Drosophila melanogaster: one gene and its partner. Changing the gene in region 1 together with any one later gene gives a genetic interaction. Each region holds a gene or a part of one and is shown in the gene's direction. Other genes may lie near its edges.

Region 1 (11,566 bases):
TGGGCGACACCCTGGCCCAGCAGTTGGCTGCGCGTGGGCACCCAACTGTAGATGATCTGCAAGCGAGGGAATGAGCGCCCAATTAGCGAAGGAAGTGAGAGATACCCGCCCGATGCACCCACCTTGATTGTGCTCTGGACGATGAAGCCGTGGTAGGGCTTCAATGTGCGTTCGTACGCGTCCTGCAGATGCTGCTTAAGTGCCTCCTTGGCCTGGGCATCGTTGTAGATGTTCTCGAAGAAGGTGCATATGAGCTGCAGGCCGCGCTTCAGCCAGAGCAGCGCGTTGGCCGCAAAGTCGTCCACGTTCACGTTCAGCACGATCAGATCCTCCAGATACTGGTACTTGACCACATCCGCTCCGTAGGCTTTCGTCAGTTTCTGAAACGGCAATAAACGGCAATGAAAACGAATGTACACATGTATATATATGTATGTATTTCGTGTTAGATCTTAAAGATCTTGGAAAGCTTACGTTTATGTTTCCGTTCATGTCGCTGATCACGGGTGTGAATAGTTTGCCGAAGCTCTCTGAAAAATGAAAAATGGTAAATAGATAGCAGTGAGTTGAATTGATTGGCTTCGGTTTGGGTGCGCTGTTATCACCTATGACGGTTACTATCTCCTTGGAGGCGTCGAGAAAGGCCTGTGTCTCCAGCTTATCAGCGGTATCGCCGATGGCCGGAAATCCGCGCAGCGCCTTGAACTGAATGCGCGCCGCCGATCCCTCGCTGGCTGCCATCGTGTGCTCCTGTTCTGTCCTGTTCCGTCCTCTAATTTCCTGCTCTGCTCTGCTGCGTTTCTGCTCTCCTTAGCTCTCCGATTGGTTCCGTATCCAATGCGCTTCGAACGCCGACTGATTGGTAAATCTGCAAGCGAAGTTGGCCACCTGCTTAGTTTCGGGCACCAATATCGGCTGTTTATCTTATCGAACGAGCTGCGCTCGGAATTCTAATACTACTCTACACTCGTGCGACACTTGAGCTCGCCATCGGACGGCCTTCTCCTCCGACGCGGCGATAATGGAAACTGGGCTGAGCAAAGTGCCGTGCGCGACTACGTTTCCCCACTCGCCGGGGGGAACGGGTTACGGGGGGGGTGGTGCAAGGGGTCAGAGCTTTAACCCACCTCACAGCTGGCGTCTTGGATCTTGGAGAGCCGCCAGAGAGCTCGAGTTCCGCACACTTCGATCCAATCCGAGTTGGCTTAGTACGAAAACCTGATTTCAGGTTTGCACCATGGGATAAAACGCGATTTTATGTCTCAAATTATCGGACAGCAGGAACTTACAAAAATTACAGCTTTAGATTGAGAAGTTTTGAACTGAGATTGAAATAGACAAAGTTACTTACAATTCTAAGTTACTTTAACAATTTCAACACTTTCAATTGCTAAATTAAAGTATTTGAAAGTGTTTTAGATTCAAAAACTCGAATCAAACAATAATTTACTCAATACGCTAACGTTTTTCTAACCGCAATGCGTGTAAATACCAAAAGTATTTAGTAAACTAAATACTAAAAACTAAAAATAGTTAAAAACCGTTTTTCTAGCTAAAAAAAAAAGCGTTTTAAAAAGATATATGTATTTCAAATGGCAACCGTTTTCAAATGCCAATTTGCAAGTTAGCAAATAAAAACTTTTAGACAAACTTTTAACTATCACGCATTTTCGAATCATAGTAACAGCGATAAGGCTTATCAATAAATAAAATTATGGCATTCCCATGTTAATCTGAATTGTTTTCCCTATTTTGTTTTCGCCAGCGCTGCGAAAGTCAGACAGTTTGATTTTGTGGAACCAACCAACCAGGGTGCACGTCACCGCGTATGGAATCTGGCAATGGAACAGCAATGACTCACCGATGATGGCTGGGCTCTGGGTTTCGGTTTTATCAAGCAATTTGATTGCGTGGCGGGGGAATCTTTCGACGGAATCTTTATCAGCTTAATTGATTGCTGGCTAATTGAGTTGCATTCAAACAGAATGATATCTTTCTTAAATTATTTCTACTACTCTTGTCGAGTATTTTTAAGTACATTCACTAATTACAAAGCGATTATATTATATATACATTGAAATCGCATTCGGGATAATATTTTCATATATGGCAAGCATTGCAAAAAGTTGCCCCTTTCATCCAGTTAACTATGCCAAGGACGTGGGCCACTCACCTCGCGCTGCGGCAATCCTAGGAGGAATCGCAGGATAGCCGCTTGGTGTCGCCACTGGTGGTCAGCACGAAAACGTAGTGGGTGCACTGCTCCGCGAGGAGATGCCACAGCGAAGCGGGCAGCTGGAAGCGGTGCACATACGGCTCCTCGAACTCCTCGTAGTGGGCCACCAGGCTGTTCTGGTTGCAGCGCAGCTCGATCAGTCGGATGGGCCTGCTGGAGCGAATCTCACGCGTGTCGCGGTTCAATTGTATGCTGGCCGCCTCAAAGTCGACGGCAGCCGTCTGCTCCAGCTCCAAATTCAGCCAGCGATGATGGGCCAGGATTACGGCACAGTTGCGTGCAAAATAGAAGCTATCGTGGCGTCGCTGGTTGTGGTAGTTGTCCAGCAGTTGGCTGCTTGGCTGCAATTTCAGTTTGGTGAGGCGGGCGCGGTTGCCCGTTGCGGCGCCACTGCCGGCGGACGAGGAGGAGGAGGAGGTGGAGCTGGATGAGGATGATCCGCCCTCGGATGAATTAGTATTGGCAAGTGAGCCCCTGCGGGCGTCCACAATTCGCTGCGGCAAATGCTCCGTGGGCTGGTCCACGGTCAACACGCGATTCAAGTAGTCGAAGCCCTGGCCCATCACACCCTCGCTGGTGTGGCCCAGATCGAAGCAGTGGCCCAGTTCGTGGCACACGGCGCCCAAGGTGCTGGCATAGACGCCGCCGTACGTCCGCCGATAGTTGCTCTCGTCCGGCAGGCGGGCGATGTCCACCCGCTGGGCGCTGCGCACACAGTCGCCGATCTCCGCGAAGCTCGTGGGCCACGCGTAGAAGTGGGCACTACCAAAGAGCGCCAAGCCGCCGCCACCGAGTGCTGCGTGTCCCTTGAGATGCCGCCGGATGTTGGCGTACGAGGAGTCACCGCTGGCCACCACTGCGTCGCCGTCGTAGCGCGTGCAGCCCACAAAGGCGACGAACTTGAGGAGCAACTGGTGGCCCCACTGCGGACAGGCGATAATCTCGCCGGCGAAATGCTGCCACAGCTCGTCCTCGCTCTTCGCCAGCGCCTGTTTCCGGGTCAACTGGCTGCGGAAGGCGCAGCACTTGCCGTTGAGCGTGAAGGTGCGGTTGGGAAAGCCCGCCGCGTGCAGTTTGTGCGCGTAGATGGACTGCACCAGCCGCAAATTAAGATCGATGAGGGAGTGCACCTCGTGCTGCTGCGCCAGCGTCTTCTCCTCGTCCTGACAGAGCAGGTAGAGCGGCTGCACCCGGTAGGAGCTGCGGCGGGGCCGGTAACTGAAGCTAATCGTTCGGGTGGCCGTGCAGGATCGCAACTCCAGGAGGCAGGCGCTCTCCTCCTCCTCCTCCTCGCGATTCGCTTGTTCCAAGTCGAATAGGAGCTTAAACTCGCCGCCGGCCGACAGCTGGGTGAGCTGCTCCTGGGACAGGTGCTCGGGCAGATCGAGGATCGCCTTCAGTTGACGCGCCGTGGAACACTTGGGCACCAGGCGTCCCTTGACCAACAGCAGGCTGTGCTCCAGGCGCTCCGACGTCAGCGGCTGCTCAACCTCGATGCTGTGCGCGCGCTTGCAGCCGGCGGTGCCGCTGCTCATTGCCAAATTCTGGCCAGGATTTCCGGTTCCGTTTGTCTGCTCAAATCAAAATCCAGACTCCGAAATCCAATTGGAAAAGCCGAACAAACGCACTGTGCTGCCAGACCGGGAAAATAACCGGTACGCCAGCGGACCAAAGCTGGTTGCTACAAGTGACCAACCGGCATTGTAATCGATAGTAAAAGCAATCGAACTGTTATATTTTATATTTTTAAAAATAGGCAAAGCCATTTCTCTAGCATTTCTTTCGGTATGACTTTATGGCATATACTGGTAATTGTTTTGTTTGTCGCGATTCTGGTCTTCCTATCGTTATCGGCCTTTTGATAGCTCTCCTCATATCGAAGTACTGCAGGCCCGATAGAATCAGGCACTTATCGCCACCCGATTTCGATGACAGTTTTTAAATAATTGTGCAAATTCCTTGCTAATAATAAATTGTAATCAATTAACTTGTCAATCGCAATTCTGGATGCACCTGGCGACGCGGACATGATCGCCGTCGCAGAACCGCCGCTGGAGTTTGTGCCGCGCGGCCGTCAGACGTCCGCGGAGCATCCGGGCCCACATGACCAGCCAATGGCGCGCCACCAACTGCCCACCACGGAGCATCTGCTGCTGCAGCGCCTCCAGAATGTGAACATCTCGTCGGCCGGTGAGGACTGCCCTTCGGGCGGACAGGAGTCGTGGACAGTCCGAGAGCTGTACGATGACTACGAGGCATCCGAGGAGCGCGCCGCCCTGCGACGCAAGTTGACCGAGCGGACAAAGCGATGTGGTCTCCAGGCCACCTCGCTGCCGAACAGACTGCTCAATCCACCGCTGGTGCGGCGCGTGGAGCCAATGTGCGACTATATGGTTAACAACGAGGAGGAGCTCTATGTGAACCGGAACACGGTGGTGTGGACACAAGGCGTCAACGATGACGACGATACCGACAATGGGGTGTACCGGCGCATGTGTTTCACCACCGATACGCCGGTGCGCTTCGCCTGCTTCCTGAATCGCAGTTTTGTGCGCGGGCGACTGGCGCAGCTGAAGGCGGCTGTCCACCCGGATGACGACCATTTGACCGCCATCTGTGTGATGGATCAGGACGCCCTGCGGGTGTACTGCAGCAACGGCGAGGACTTTCTAGCCAATCTGGACTTTCCCGTGTCACAGCTGTGGCAAACCAAGTATGGCCTGCTGCTGGAAAAGGACTCCAGCAATGCCTTGATATCGCACATGTCCATTCCGATGCCGCGTCTCTTCTCTATGTCGCATCCGCTGCACGAGGCCTGTCCCGTCGTCCTGAAGACGGCCACCGGCTCCACCGGCTACATGACCGAACCGGAATACACTGTGGTCTTCACCACCGAGGAATCGGATTTGGTGATGCTGTACGATGCCAAGTTCTTTAAGCATTTCGTTGCACGCCTGCGTAAGGTAACGCCCGAAGAGATCAACTATGTGAGTCAGCAGATGGAGCTGGGACAGACGCTAATGGGACCCAGGTCGATGGCAGGCAATAGTTTCAGTTCCACCAAGCAAACTGGAGGTGAGTTGATAGCAATGCCAGCAAGGGCATACGATTTATTCACTGTCTATCCATTGCTAGCCACGCCAAAAGCAACGAACTTATCGTTTGCGGCCAGGAATATCAACACCACCACCACCGGCATGGGCAACCAGTTCGGACTCAGCCAGTCGCAGTCGTTCAGCGGAGTTCTTGGACAGTCGAAGTACGTTTAAGTCGCTGTCATCCATCACTTACTTATTATTGCCTCTTCTTCCGTTTAGTCGCGCCTCCCTAGGCACTCCATTGAGCCAACTGCAGAGCAGTATTAGCCAGCAGTCCATGTCCGTGAAGGATATGCGCAAGTTAACGCACGTGAAGCCGGCAAAACCCATTGAGCCGGAATTGTGTATGGAGCACATCTGGACGGAGAACATCTACGGAACGTCAGTAAATGCCACCAAAGATGCCACTTTCAGTACTAAAATTGTCTGTCTTCCTTAGTCAACGAGAGTTCTGCGAGATGGCCACCCGAGCATTTATCCACACGGATTTAGTGGGTCAGACCTTTTTGTGCTACCTGCTGGCCCGCTCGTGCCGCCTTCAGTTGGTCCGCCTCACTGGCTATGGAAGGGGCGAGGTGCAGCTCTCCACGCACGCCTCCACGCTGGCCGCGAAAGATGCAGTGGGTCTGAAGAGAATGCACATGATTGCCGTTCTCGATCCGAGTGGCAGCTTACTTCTATACACAGGCACCGTGCTCATATCCAAGGTGCACATTACGCCGTTTTTGGCGCCTACCTCCATTCCCACACCGCTGGTAACGCCCATGACTGCTGCCCCATCTCCGTCGGCTTCGCCCGCTCCGTCTCACGTTAAAACACCAATGGCAGCTGCTGGACCAGCAAGCGGCATTCCGTCCGGCAGCAGTTCTTTCGTGGAGGTGCGAAGGAGCAGCCTACTGCCCACAAAAGCGCCGGGGGATGTGGCTGCCTTCGAAGAGGAGCTGCACATGCTGTCGCCCATCCAACCGCAGCCGGTGTCCTACACACAGCGGCAGGCGCACAATGTCTGCAAATCCCTGAGAGATCCGGCGGGAAATCGATTGACTTTGGTTTATGCCACGGGCAGAATGCTCAGAATAGCGCTGCCATTTCTAAATGATACACGATTGCTCACCAGATGTGTGGCTACGCTACGGCAGGTTCTAAGTCCGACCCAGTTCCTGGACTTTGTTATCCGTTGGTATAGCGACAGGAATCCGCCGGGATCGAGGAATTACTCCATAGAGCAGGAATGGCTGCTATTCCGCTCCACACTGCTCGCCCTAATGGGTCTGACTGCTGCACCGGATGTGGATGCGGGCGAGAACTACGCTAGATGTGCCACGCCACCGCTGCACACTCAATTTGGAGGCGGCGCTACTGCGACGGAATCGAGTGACGGTTCTAGTTGCAGTTCCAATTCTACACTGGGTGGCCAGGATGAGCCGAAGAAACGGCGAATATACAATGATTGCGATGATTTCACGGACGACGACTGGGAGTTCCTGCTGCTCCAGACGACACTGGCTCCCTGCGGAGCCGATGGCCACAGCTACAGCGTGAACATCGGTGCGCTGCTCTTCCGAATGATTCCCGCCATCTTCTTCAGCCTGCATTTACTGTACGAGGATCTCAAACTGGACGCTGACTTTTATGGAGCGCTTCCATATCTGGCAACGGTAGGTGAATCATTTAATAGATCCATTAGTGGTTTTCTAACACCATCTCCTCGTTCCAGTTCCTACACCAGCTGGCCATCGATATGCAGCTGGAAAGTTATGTGCTGCACTACATACTAGACTTTCCGGAACTCTCGAATCGTACGGGCAAGCTCTCGTTGCTGGGAGCTGAGCACGGAGCTATGATGCTGCACCAGGAGCTTCTGAGGGTTCCGGCACCCAGTGTGTTTGCCCAACTCGAGCACATTATTGTCGGCGAGGAGGAGGTGATGCCTTACACCTTCTTGGAGTGCGTTAACGAGAGAAGTCGCATTTTACTGCAGCTCGTATCGCTGGTGACTCATGGGCATGAGCGTCTGAATTACTGGTGGCAGCTGCTTGAGATCCCCGGCGCCGTTCAGGCCAACTTTACGCGGCGCTCTAAGCGTAATATCACGGCGGATGCTCCGCGTAGCCATCAGATGTTACAGCTACTTCTGGCCATGCGCTTGACACGGCGAGACATTGAAAGATTCCCGGCGGCAGTGCATCTGATTGTAGCGGAGGCACTGGAGGAGGCTCGCCTCTCGCCGCCCATGGGCTGCAGCATGGCCACCTATGAACTTATCCTGCGTCCAGAATTGGCGGCCCACGCTCAACTGCCGTTCCTCGAAACGAGCACTGGGCAACCGCATTGTGGCCGGGTCTACAAGGAAGATTCACTGTCAGCGAGGTGTCCGCCGACCGGGGGATCAGAAACTGATTCACCGGCCCAATTGCGCCGCGACGACATGGACAACATGGACACAAAACTACTGCGTCTGCGTTTTCCCGATGACATGCGGGTGGATGAAGTGCGCCGTCTGCTTAACAGCTCGGAACCGGTGGTCATTGAAGTGCAACAGGCACCGGGAACCAGCGATCACGAATTCATTGAGGAGCAGGAGAAGCAACTGTTTGCACTATGTTCGCGCACAATGACACTGCCCGTGGGCAGAGGTATGTTCACCCTGAGAACGATGTTGCCGCGGCCCAGCGAAAGCTTGACCATGCCCAAATTGTGCCTGTTGGGCAAGGAGCCGCTGAAGGGCACCACCATCGAAATGCAGCAGATCGAATTCCCAGCGAATATGCAAATGTGGCCATCGTTTCACAATGGCGTGGCCACTGGCCTGAAGATCTCACCCCAGGCTCAGGACATAGACTCCAATTGGATTGTCTACAACAAGCCCAAAACGCATTCGCATAATGCCCTGGAGCACGCTGGTTTCCTCATGGCCCTGGGCTTGAATGGTCACCTAAAGACGCTGTCCTTCATGAGTGTCTATAAGTATTTGGTTAAATGCGATGAGATGACCAACGTTGGTCTGCTGCTGGGCATTTCCGCTGCCCATCGCGGCACCATGGATACGAAAACCACAAAGTTGTTGAGCGTTCACTTGGAGGCACTGCTGCCAGCCACCGCCATGGAGTTGGATATACCGCAAAGCACACAGGTGGCTGCTATAATGGGCGTCGGTTTGCTCTATCAAGGATCAGCTAAGCGCCACATAGCCGAGGTGCTGCTCCAGGAGATTGGCCGTCCTCCAGGCCCTGAGATGGAGAACAGCATTGAGCGCGAATCGTATGCCATGACAGCAGGTCTATCCCTCGGATTGGTTACCCTCGGTCAGGGTGAATCGCCGGCGGGCCTAAGGGACCTCCAACTGCCGGATACCCTGCACTACTACATGGTCGGTGGAGTGAAGAGACCCATCGGCGGTTCCCAGAAGGAGAAATACCGACTAGCCTCGTTCCAAGTTCGTGAAGGCGATACCGTCAACATAGATGTCACTGCTCCGGGTGCAACGCTCGCATTGGGACTTATGTTCTTCAACTCGGGGAACGCAGCTATTGCCGAATGGATGCAGCCGCCGGATTCGCGGTATCTACTGGACATGGTGCGGCCTGACTTCCTTCTGCTGCGCACAATTTCCCGGGGCCTCATCCTATGGCAGGATGTCCGGCCGGACAACGCGTGGTTCCAGGCACAGTTTCCGCGAGCACTCCGAGCTCACCTAAAACTCCCGTTCTACGAAAATGAGTATGCACCCGAGGACTATGACGTGGACTACGAGGCCATCTCGTGAGTAACTGAAGTTGAATGTCAAAGTAATTAGATACGAATTATATACTCTTGTCCAGGCAAGCCTATTGCAATATCATGGCTGGAGCTGCCTTCTGCATTGGTCTCAAGTACGCCGGCACTGAGAATCTGGTGGCCTTTGCCACGCTGCGGTCGGTGATAAAGGATTTCCTTCGCTTCCCCAGCAGGCCGATGGGCGAATGTGCCGGTCGCACCACTGTGGAGAGCTGCCTGATGGTGCTGCTCATCTCGATCTCGTTGGTGTTCGCCGGCTCCGGCAACTGCGAAATTCTTCGCATAATTCGGTTTCTCAGGTCGCGAGTGGGACCACAATATCCGCACATAACCTACGGCTCTCACATGGCCATACACATGTCGCTTGGCCTGCTATTCCTCGGCGCGGGTCGCTTCACCATTTCCCAGACACCGGAGTCGATTGCTGCACTGGTCTGCGCCTTCTTCCCCAAGTTTCCCATACACAGCAACGACAATCGGTAAGGATTAATATATTTGCAGCAATGTGTTAGCACACTTCACCGCATGGATTTACATTTTAAGATACCATCTGCAAGCGCTGAGACATCTCTATGTACTGGCTGTGGAACCGCGCCTGTTCCTTCCCCGGGACATTGACACCAATAAGCTGTGCCTGGCCAACATATCCGTGTTGGAGGTGGGTGCCACCGAGCTGCGCCGCCTGCCCATCGCTCCCTGCATCCTGCCAGTGCTGAGCACCCTGCAGCAGGTGGTGGTGGACGACGAGAACTATTGGCCAGTGTGCTTCGAGCGATCGCGCAACTGGGATCAGCTGGAAAAGGCGCTGGAGATGAGTGCACCGATTGATATTAAGAAGCGAACGGGCTGCCTTTCCCACTTGGAGGACCCGGACAGGCTGAAGAGCATGCTGGCCCAAACATTGACGATGGAACAGAGCATCTGTTGGCAGATCGATATGAACGACCTGCAGCAGTTTGCCAGCGAACGTATGGTGAAGCAGTTCCTCAGTCGCTGCCTGGACACCAAAGGCACGGATTTGAGTCCCCCGGAGCTGATGAAGCGGCACCAGGTGATGCTGCTATTCTACAATGCCGTGGTCAAGGATCGCATGCATTTCCTGCCGGTTTACCTAACCCTATACGATGTAAGTGCATCCATTCACTTGCATAATTTGACCGCGAATGTAACGTTCTTTGTTTTTAGCACGTAACCAAGTCCATGCCGAACAACATCGATGTGTGGCAGATGAAGCTCATCGATGCCTATTTGAGTCGCAGCCAGGAGTCCGAGCATCCGCTCATCTCCGTGGAGCTTATCCAAATGATGCAAGAGCTCTTCAAGCAGGAAATGGAGGACTCGACGCGCGAGTTGTGCTTACCGCTGCGCGAGTTCCTCAGCCGAAGGCGTCTGGATCCCAGCTATGTGACCACAGTCAGTGGACCGGACTTGCAGCGAGCCTTCTGCGTGATCAATTACTACAATCTGTTGCCGAATATGTTGAATGGAGTGGACTTGAGCACGGGCACAGTTAACTATATGCGTCTTTTATACGAATTCCGCCGGCTGAATCTCGGCGCGCACACCATATTTGGCCTAATGAAGATCCTACAGTCACTGGCCACCGAAGTGGTGACTCTGGATGAGGCAGCCCTTCTGGCGTACACCATGGGTGACCAGTGATGATCGATGGAAATTCTTTTTTGCTAGACCCATATTACTGTACATTCATTTCTAAATAATATTATTGCACATTATTTCAAAATTTCGCCGCCACTTATAATCGAAACTTTGCATAAAAGTTTGCTGCCCAACTCTTGAAATTATATTGTTATACAATCACGTCGAAACGTTTTGGATATGAATATTTAAATGCATGTTCCTTAATGTTTAACGATTTAACGATAGCACAAAAACTGTATAAAATATATTTACAAATAAATAGCCCATAACGCTTGCAAAATTAATAGGTTAATTTTATTGTAAAAAAAATAATTATCCCAATAAGTTTGGGTTCGTCTTAGGTGTTAGGTGAAATTCTGGAGTATAATACGCTTGAGATTTGCGGCATTCCTTGGTCCCAAATTTAACCAGCATCTATCTCAGCCTTGTCTACGTGCGCTAGCACGATGTATAGGTTATCAAAATAACGAATATGTACAAAGAAACTATGTGCTATAGCCATGCTATATAGCCATGGTAATGCTAATGTATCGCCCCAGCTATCCGCTCCGCTTCGGAGGCGGTGGCGCTGGCCTCACTAATTCGCTTGTTGCCCCAGCACCGGTTGTACAGATAAATGCCCAGCAGGGGCAGCGGCGTCATCACGGCCACCGATACGGGCACCACCGTGGTGATGTCCGCCTCCGGCGATTCCAGCGTGGTCGTCAGCAGGAAGATGGCGATGCCCGTGTTCTGGATGCCCGTCTCGATGGCGATGGTCAGGGCGTCGGCTGCATTTTGGTGCAGCAGCTTG
Region 2 (6,586 bases), on another chromosome or scaffold:
GGGCGCCGAGATACAAGTACCCACTTGTGTAGATGCTTGTTGCAGATACTTTCGCAATGAGTTTTATTGGTGTCGCTCCGTAGAGATCGATAGAGATCTACGGATCTCTGGAAAGCATCTGGCATGAAGGGATAACGATAAGGTAAACGAAATCCATCGCAGCGTCTTAGATCGGTCGAAAAACAGAGACCACCCAAATTTATGTAATACAATACCTGCTCCAATAATAATCATAACATTTGAGTCGATTTACGACGGCTGAACTTGAAGCATTCGATAAAATGAAAAAATAAATAAATCTATGGCACAGGGAGAAAATGAAATCAGTTTACAATCCGATACATACTCAGCGGGCGAGCATTTACAAACAATGAAATTCAATGCAATAATTCAAGATTCAATTGAATTTTAAGTACGCCCAGCGCCGAGCTTCCTTTTGTATCCGTAACTAGAAACTGACGATAAGCTGAGGCCAGCCGACTGTCAGTCACTCAGTCCGTCAGTCGGTCAGTTAGGCAGTCAGTCAAGCATTCAGTCAGTCCCGCCGACGGCCATCCATCTCATCCCAGATCGTCTGTCTGTGTGTCGCGCACGCGCATAAACTTCCCACTGAGCCAGTTGGCCTGTAGGAGGGAATTGGGCCCAAACCCGAGTCAGTTATTGCTAGCGGCTAAGCTGTAATAGTGGGCCACACATTTGGGGATTGAGTTTAATAAAATATCCTAACAAGTGCTGAATTCGGTGAGATGAAAATCTTGCGATTGCCAGAGTTGGATATCAAATAATAAGGATCATGACATTTCACTTAACACACTTTCATATAATTTCTGTCATAGAGCATTGAACTAAGGCTTAATTTAGCATCGTAGATCTCATGAGTAAGAAGTAAAATCAATATTATGAAAATAAATATATATATAATTAGTAATTTAATTGGTTGCCAATTTGTGTTAAGATGCCAAATAAAGATGCTCTGAAAGATCCGTTTAGCAGCATTACAGTTCGAGACAAAAACACTCTTTACCTTGTGAAATTACTGAGAAGTCGCGAAAAGATCACCAACCAGACGATACAACAGGAGTTCAGAGTTGTCAATAAAAATTAATTGCAATTTTATTGCCACAGAAGGCAGCTCCTGCATACAAAGTACTCGATATGCCTTACACTCGATTGATCTTTAGGCTTCGGAGTTACCAAGCAATTGAATGTCTTTTGGTAGCTCAAGTAAATACAAAATTAAGACTTTTAAGAGTTGTGAGCCAACTTAGGCACTATTGCCAATTAGGGCATGATATGGAAAATAAGGAGAACGCAGTTAAATAAATGCATACTACAGAATTAATGCAATATATATTACATCACCTAAAGTAAAAGTAAATATAGTTAGTTTAACCACTATTAAGAATACCCTTAGCCACAATCTTATTTCCGAATGGTAAAAATTTCTTTAAAGTTTATAGAACCAAAAAGGGAAGTCAAGTATAATTTGCCACATTTCTGGTACGAATAATAAAACGTTAGTCAAAACGTAGTCATACATATACATATGAATAAATACAGCGAAGGTAATAATTCCTATAGCAGATTTATCATATAGTGGTCAGATCCGTCCCGTTCAATCTTATATAATATTCATACTATAATCAAAGACACTCAAATAATTCTAGTGTCTTTGCTATAATAGTATATAATATACATACTGCCAGCAGATTGCTTCAGATTTAAATGACTTGTTTGCGTAGAAACTGACGAACGGATATATGTATGTGAACTCGGCTGCTGATACTGATCAAGAATATATATCCTTTATATGGTCACGAATGTCTCTGTTGCACACTACAGACTAAAATCAAAATATTCTCTGAAAGGTATTCCCAACAAAAAACGCTATATCCTGGGATAACCATTGTATTCTTACGATTAATTTCACAAAATGAATTAAGAAACTATAATTGTACAGAAACGATTATTTAAAGGATTATTGCCGTTCAAAAACGAAAGAGTAATTCCCGCTACTGTTCCGCTGTTTTCACGTCCGCAGATTTAAGTGACCCAATTGCAAAAACAAAAGCAAAACAATATTAATTCAACTCTGAGCCGACTGATGCTGCAGGCACCTCAAAGTTAAAAAATGCGTAGCACGTGCGTTCAGAAATTCGGCCAAGAAAAAAGGAAACTGTTAACTGGGTCCATAAATTCAACTTTGTTGTATATACATACATACATACTGTATGTTCATATAAGTACGTCACTTTAAACATCTGCCTTCGTTTCCTTTAACTCTTTAATTTATTTTTGATCCAGCTTTAATAACTATTAATTTATTATTCCTATAACTTGTACGTTGAATGGGCATAGGTAATTTTCTTGAAATATGAAATATTTAAAATGGAATGCATTCTGTATGAAATGTATTCGGGCCTAAAAAGATGATTGTAGTTATTTAAATTTGAAACTAGATTTTTAATACAAGAAGATTGATAAAAAGTTATTTTTGATTTATATTTAATAAATATTTTAGAACTAAAACCAAAATAAATGATGTTTTCCCTACTAAAATTATACTCGAACTTGTAGCTGTATTAAAACGTGTTCACTTATTGATTAAATCATAGCCCATACAGTTAGTTATACGTTCTCAATTTTTGCCAATCTTGCGCTTCTGATTTCCAATGAAATAAAAGTGACTATTGTACGAATCACCCTAATATTTTTTCACAACTGGTATTTTTCTCCGTCCCGCAATCGGTAACACCATGCAGGGTGTCTGAGTTTCGAATCGGCATAAATTCGCCGGCAGCTGAGCAAGATGTATCCTGTGAGCTCGCAAAAGAGGTCCTGGACATTCGCCAATGAGGGCCAGCTCATGGAGTTCCGCGTGGAGCAGAACAGCAAGTACATCGAGTCGCACGAGGAGGAGGCGCAGGGTCGCGACCTCAATGAGCACTTTCTCACGTCGGCGGAGGAGCGCCTGTTGCTGAAGCAGTACGAGATCTACCTGTTCGATTTCTGCCGCCGCTTCGAACCGACGATGCCCAAGTGCGTTGTGGGCACGGCCTTCCACTACTTCAAGCGGTTCTATCTGAACAACTCCCCCATGGACTATCACCCCAAGGAGATTCTGTAGGAACGCTCACCTGAGAGCAGCAAACACCCAGCTGAAAAGCAAAACATTCTAAAAATGTATAAACCTTTTCAGAGCCACATGCGTGTTCGTTGCCTGCAAAGTTGAGGAGTTCAACGTGTCCATCAACCAGTTCGTAAACAACATCAAGGGCGACAGGAACAAGGCCACCGACATAGTGTTGTCCAATGAATTACTGCTGATTGGACAGCTCAACTACTACCTCACCATACACAATCCGTTCAGACCCATCGAGGGTTTCCTGATAGATATAAAAGTGCGATATATATTCACATTTGCTCTCCAGATTGTTTCGTTCATATTGGTTTGTTTCAGACTCGCAGCAATATGCAGAATCCAGATCGTCTGCGGCCACATATTGATAGTTTCATTGATTCCACGTACTACTCGGATGCCTGTCTTCTGCATACGCCTTCGCAAATTGCATTGGCTGCCGTCCTCCACGCGGCCAGCAGAGAGCAAGAGAATCTCGATAGCTATGTGACGGATCTTCTGTTTGTCTCCGCCAGGGAGAAGCTACCCGGACTCATAGATGCCGTGCGAAGTAAGTTTGTGCTGTGAGATGGTGCGCCCAGCCCTACATGCCTTTTTCCCGACAGAAATTCGCATAATGGTGAAGCAATATCAGCAGCCCGATCGGGAGAAGGTCAAGGCCATCGAGAAAAAGTTGGACAAGTGCCGAAATCAAGCCAATAATCCTGATAGCGAACTGTAAGACGCCCTAATTTGTTCATGCATTCCGAATTTAATAACCCTTATACTTTAAAAGCTATAAGGAGCGCCTACGCCGATTGTACACCGATGAGGATGACATGCCCGCCGAAGATGCCTCATTCCACATTGCAGATGTGAGCTCGGACACATCTGCTATGAACATCAGCCAATAGACTTAAGAATATTTATTTAAATGATGTGATGATCTACTACTGCGTGGATTTCATCGATATTAAAGCATTTTGTAATTTACCATTTCTTGATTGTTAAAATGTATGCGTTTAGTGTTAGTTTACTAAACAAAGTTGGATTAGGTACTTCACTTTTCCAATATATAAAATATTAAAAAAAAAACCTTTTGAAAATCCGCTTAGCGCTGCTTGGCAATATTTCGTTCGCAGCTAACGGCCACACTGCGCCCCAAGAAAAACAAGAATAGTGAACTCAGTCACAACAAATAGCAAAAAGAGTTCGAAATGCAGGATTTTCTGCCTTCGCTGGATGTTCTCTTTCTTGGACTACCAGGCCACTACTCGGTAGCGCTGGTCACCCTTCTGCTGTGCGTTTTGGTCGCCTTCTACTTCGCCAACATCTTCAAGGACAAAGGCGTGGGTGTTTTTGCCGGAAGAAGTAGACGTCTCCTGGAATATTTCCTTACATTATCTTGCAGGAACTGGAGGACGAGGGCCTGGGGGCCGACGAGCCGCGCGATGAGGAGGATTCCGAGTCACGGACTCCGCAAGGGGAGGAAACCGACGATGACGAGGCCTACGAAGAGAACTCCACCGAAAGCGAAGTTGAGCTAATCGAGGAACAGCTGCCCGAGCACAGCTACAACCACCTGATGGGCCAGCTCAAGGCCAAGAGGCTCCAGCATAAGATGGAGAAGACCCTGACTCCCAGCCAAATCGAGGAGGAGCGCCGAATAGAGCGCGAGCAGCTGGCGGCCATCTTTGAGCTCCTGCGCAAACAGGAGGCGGAATTGAACCTCCAGGACCGAATAAGCGACCAGGATCTCAAGCAGCAGGTGCGGCTCTATCGCTGAAGTGGCGCCGAGCCTGGGCTCACCCTACCTGAATGTACAGACTTGTGTGATCTATTAGTTTAATGTTTAAAATTCCAAGATTTGGTGTTGCCTCATACGGTCCACTAAGTGCGGGCAAGTCTTTAGTCAGAGAGCTATCTCATCAGTCGATGATGTCGGAATATAATATCTTAGTTGTATGTAAATTATATGTATTCCACTTCGATCTATGTATTTTGTGAGTTCCTGGTGTTATTAATATCTGATTTAGATTTGTAGTAAATGGCTGTTCGGCTCTTAGTCTCTTAAATCAGCTTTCGAATTAAGAATATATGTATATATTTTAACGTGTTACAAGATAAAAACTCGCGATCAGAAAGTGTATAGATTTAAACACAATTAATCGCCAAATTCGTTGGTTAGATTTAAATTGTGTTCATATAACTTTGGATTTATTTGTTCAATAAAGAATGTTTAGCTGTGTTAAGATGTAATATATACTCTAAATATTTCCTACCGTTTCCTAGCCAAATATCCGAAAATAACCGCTCATATTTTATATGCCGCGATTGGATTTTTGAAAATAATTGTTCTAACATATAGATTCCATCAGCACACCTTCGATTGGAGCAGTCGAAATGCTTAGCGTTTCTGTTCCAAATTTTTTAGTACTAAAATGTTTTTAAATTCACGTGGAGCAGATATTTTGTTGGAGTTCTAAATACGTTCGGTTTGGTTTGGTTGATGTTTAAACGTGTCGTTGTGGCGCCAATGCCCATGCATGTTTACTATCGCTTATCGATACACCGCGTACACGGCAACCGTGTGTGACCAATTCAAGCACGAAATCGTTGACCAACACTGATTGTACATCAGACGACACGACAACAAAAACAACAGCAACAACACCACCGACGTGCTTGTTCCTGTGTGTGTGTGCGTGTGAGATTGGAAGACAATGGCTGCAGCTGCGGATCTGGTTGTTCCTACCCTTGCCAGTGAGTATAGCCCGGATGCAATCCCCGCCAGGTGGTCACTGAGGTGCCGTCGACTCCTTGGAGCATCGAAGGCAGCCGATTGGGCCGCCCGGTTAGCGGAAAAACTGGAAAAACCGCGCGACCTCGTGTTTCCACCTGCTAATCGGGGTCACCTCTCGATTCTCATCAACAGTTCGCTCTAGCGTGGCCGTGGAATTGTGGTCCTCGGCGGGCTCCAAGCAGCCCTTCGAGCACAAGCCCCACCTGCCGCGCGAGGAGACGAAGAGCTCGCGCTCGATCTGCTTCAGCTCCAACGGCCGGTACTTCGCCTACTCCAACGGGCAGGAAGTCAAGGTGCTCCAGGCCAGCCGGGACAGCGCAGCCAGCTGGCCAGTGATATGCGTGCTGCCCAGGCCGAAAGCCTTCTACCTCCAATTCTCGCCACGTGGCAGCTACCTGTGCACCTGGGAGCACTATGCCATCACTAAGGACCGGCCGGAGGGGTCACCCAATCTGCTCGTCTACGAAGTGGCCACCGGTGTCGAAGTGTTTGCCATCGTCCAGAAGAACCAAGCGGACTGGCAGCCCTCCTGGTCGGCGGACGAGTCCATCTTCGCTTTGGTAGTCGGCGGCGAGGCACTCTTCTATGACCTCGGCGAGGGAGCGGAGAAGGGATTCGCCACCACATCGCGCAAGATAGGAGGCAGTCGCGGCGGTATGCTGTCG

Evidence for each region. A genetic interaction does not mean that the proteins touch.
Region 2: of shtd (region 1) and CycH, changing one enhances a phenotype caused by changing the other (phenotypic enhancement), as found in Drosophila melanogaster (one study listed by BioGRID).

Annotation. Positions count from the first base shown.
Region 1 is NC_004354.4:15,455,033-15,466,598, reverse strand, and holds shtd (shattered), read left to right. Parts: upstream 1-4,157; 5' UTR 4,158-4,263; coding exon 4,264-5,311; intron 5,312-5,371; coding exon 5,372-5,495; intron 5,496-5,553; coding exon 5,554-5,715; intron 5,716-5,773; coding exon 5,774-6,992; intron 6,993-7,051; coding exon 7,052-9,096; intron 9,097-9,155; coding exon 9,156-9,590; intron 9,591-9,654; coding exon 9,655-10,237; intron 10,238-10,296; coding exon 10,297-10,773; 3' UTR 10,774-11,055; downstream 11,056-11,566. Other genes in the region: CG6299 (uncharacterized protein), read right to left, coding at 1-56, 123-380, 475-530, 606-741; CG6294 (uncharacterized protein), read right to left, coding at 2,191-3,771; CG11655 (uncharacterized protein), read right to left, coding at 11,296-11,566.
Region 2 is NT_037436.4:21,819,197-21,825,782, forward strand, and holds CycH (cyclin H), read left to right. Parts: upstream 1-2,800; 5' UTR 2,801-2,809; coding exon 2,810-3,123; intron 3,124-3,199; coding exon 3,200-3,401; intron 3,402-3,460; coding exon 3,461-3,689; intron 3,690-3,744; coding exon 3,745-3,856; intron 3,857-3,914; coding exon 3,915-4,032; 3' UTR 4,033-4,113; downstream 4,114-6,586. Other genes in the region: CG7407 (uncharacterized protein), read left to right, coding at 4,336-4,467, 4,530-4,904; eIF2A (eukaryotic translation initiation factor 2A), read left to right, coding at 5,842-5,881, 6,054-6,586.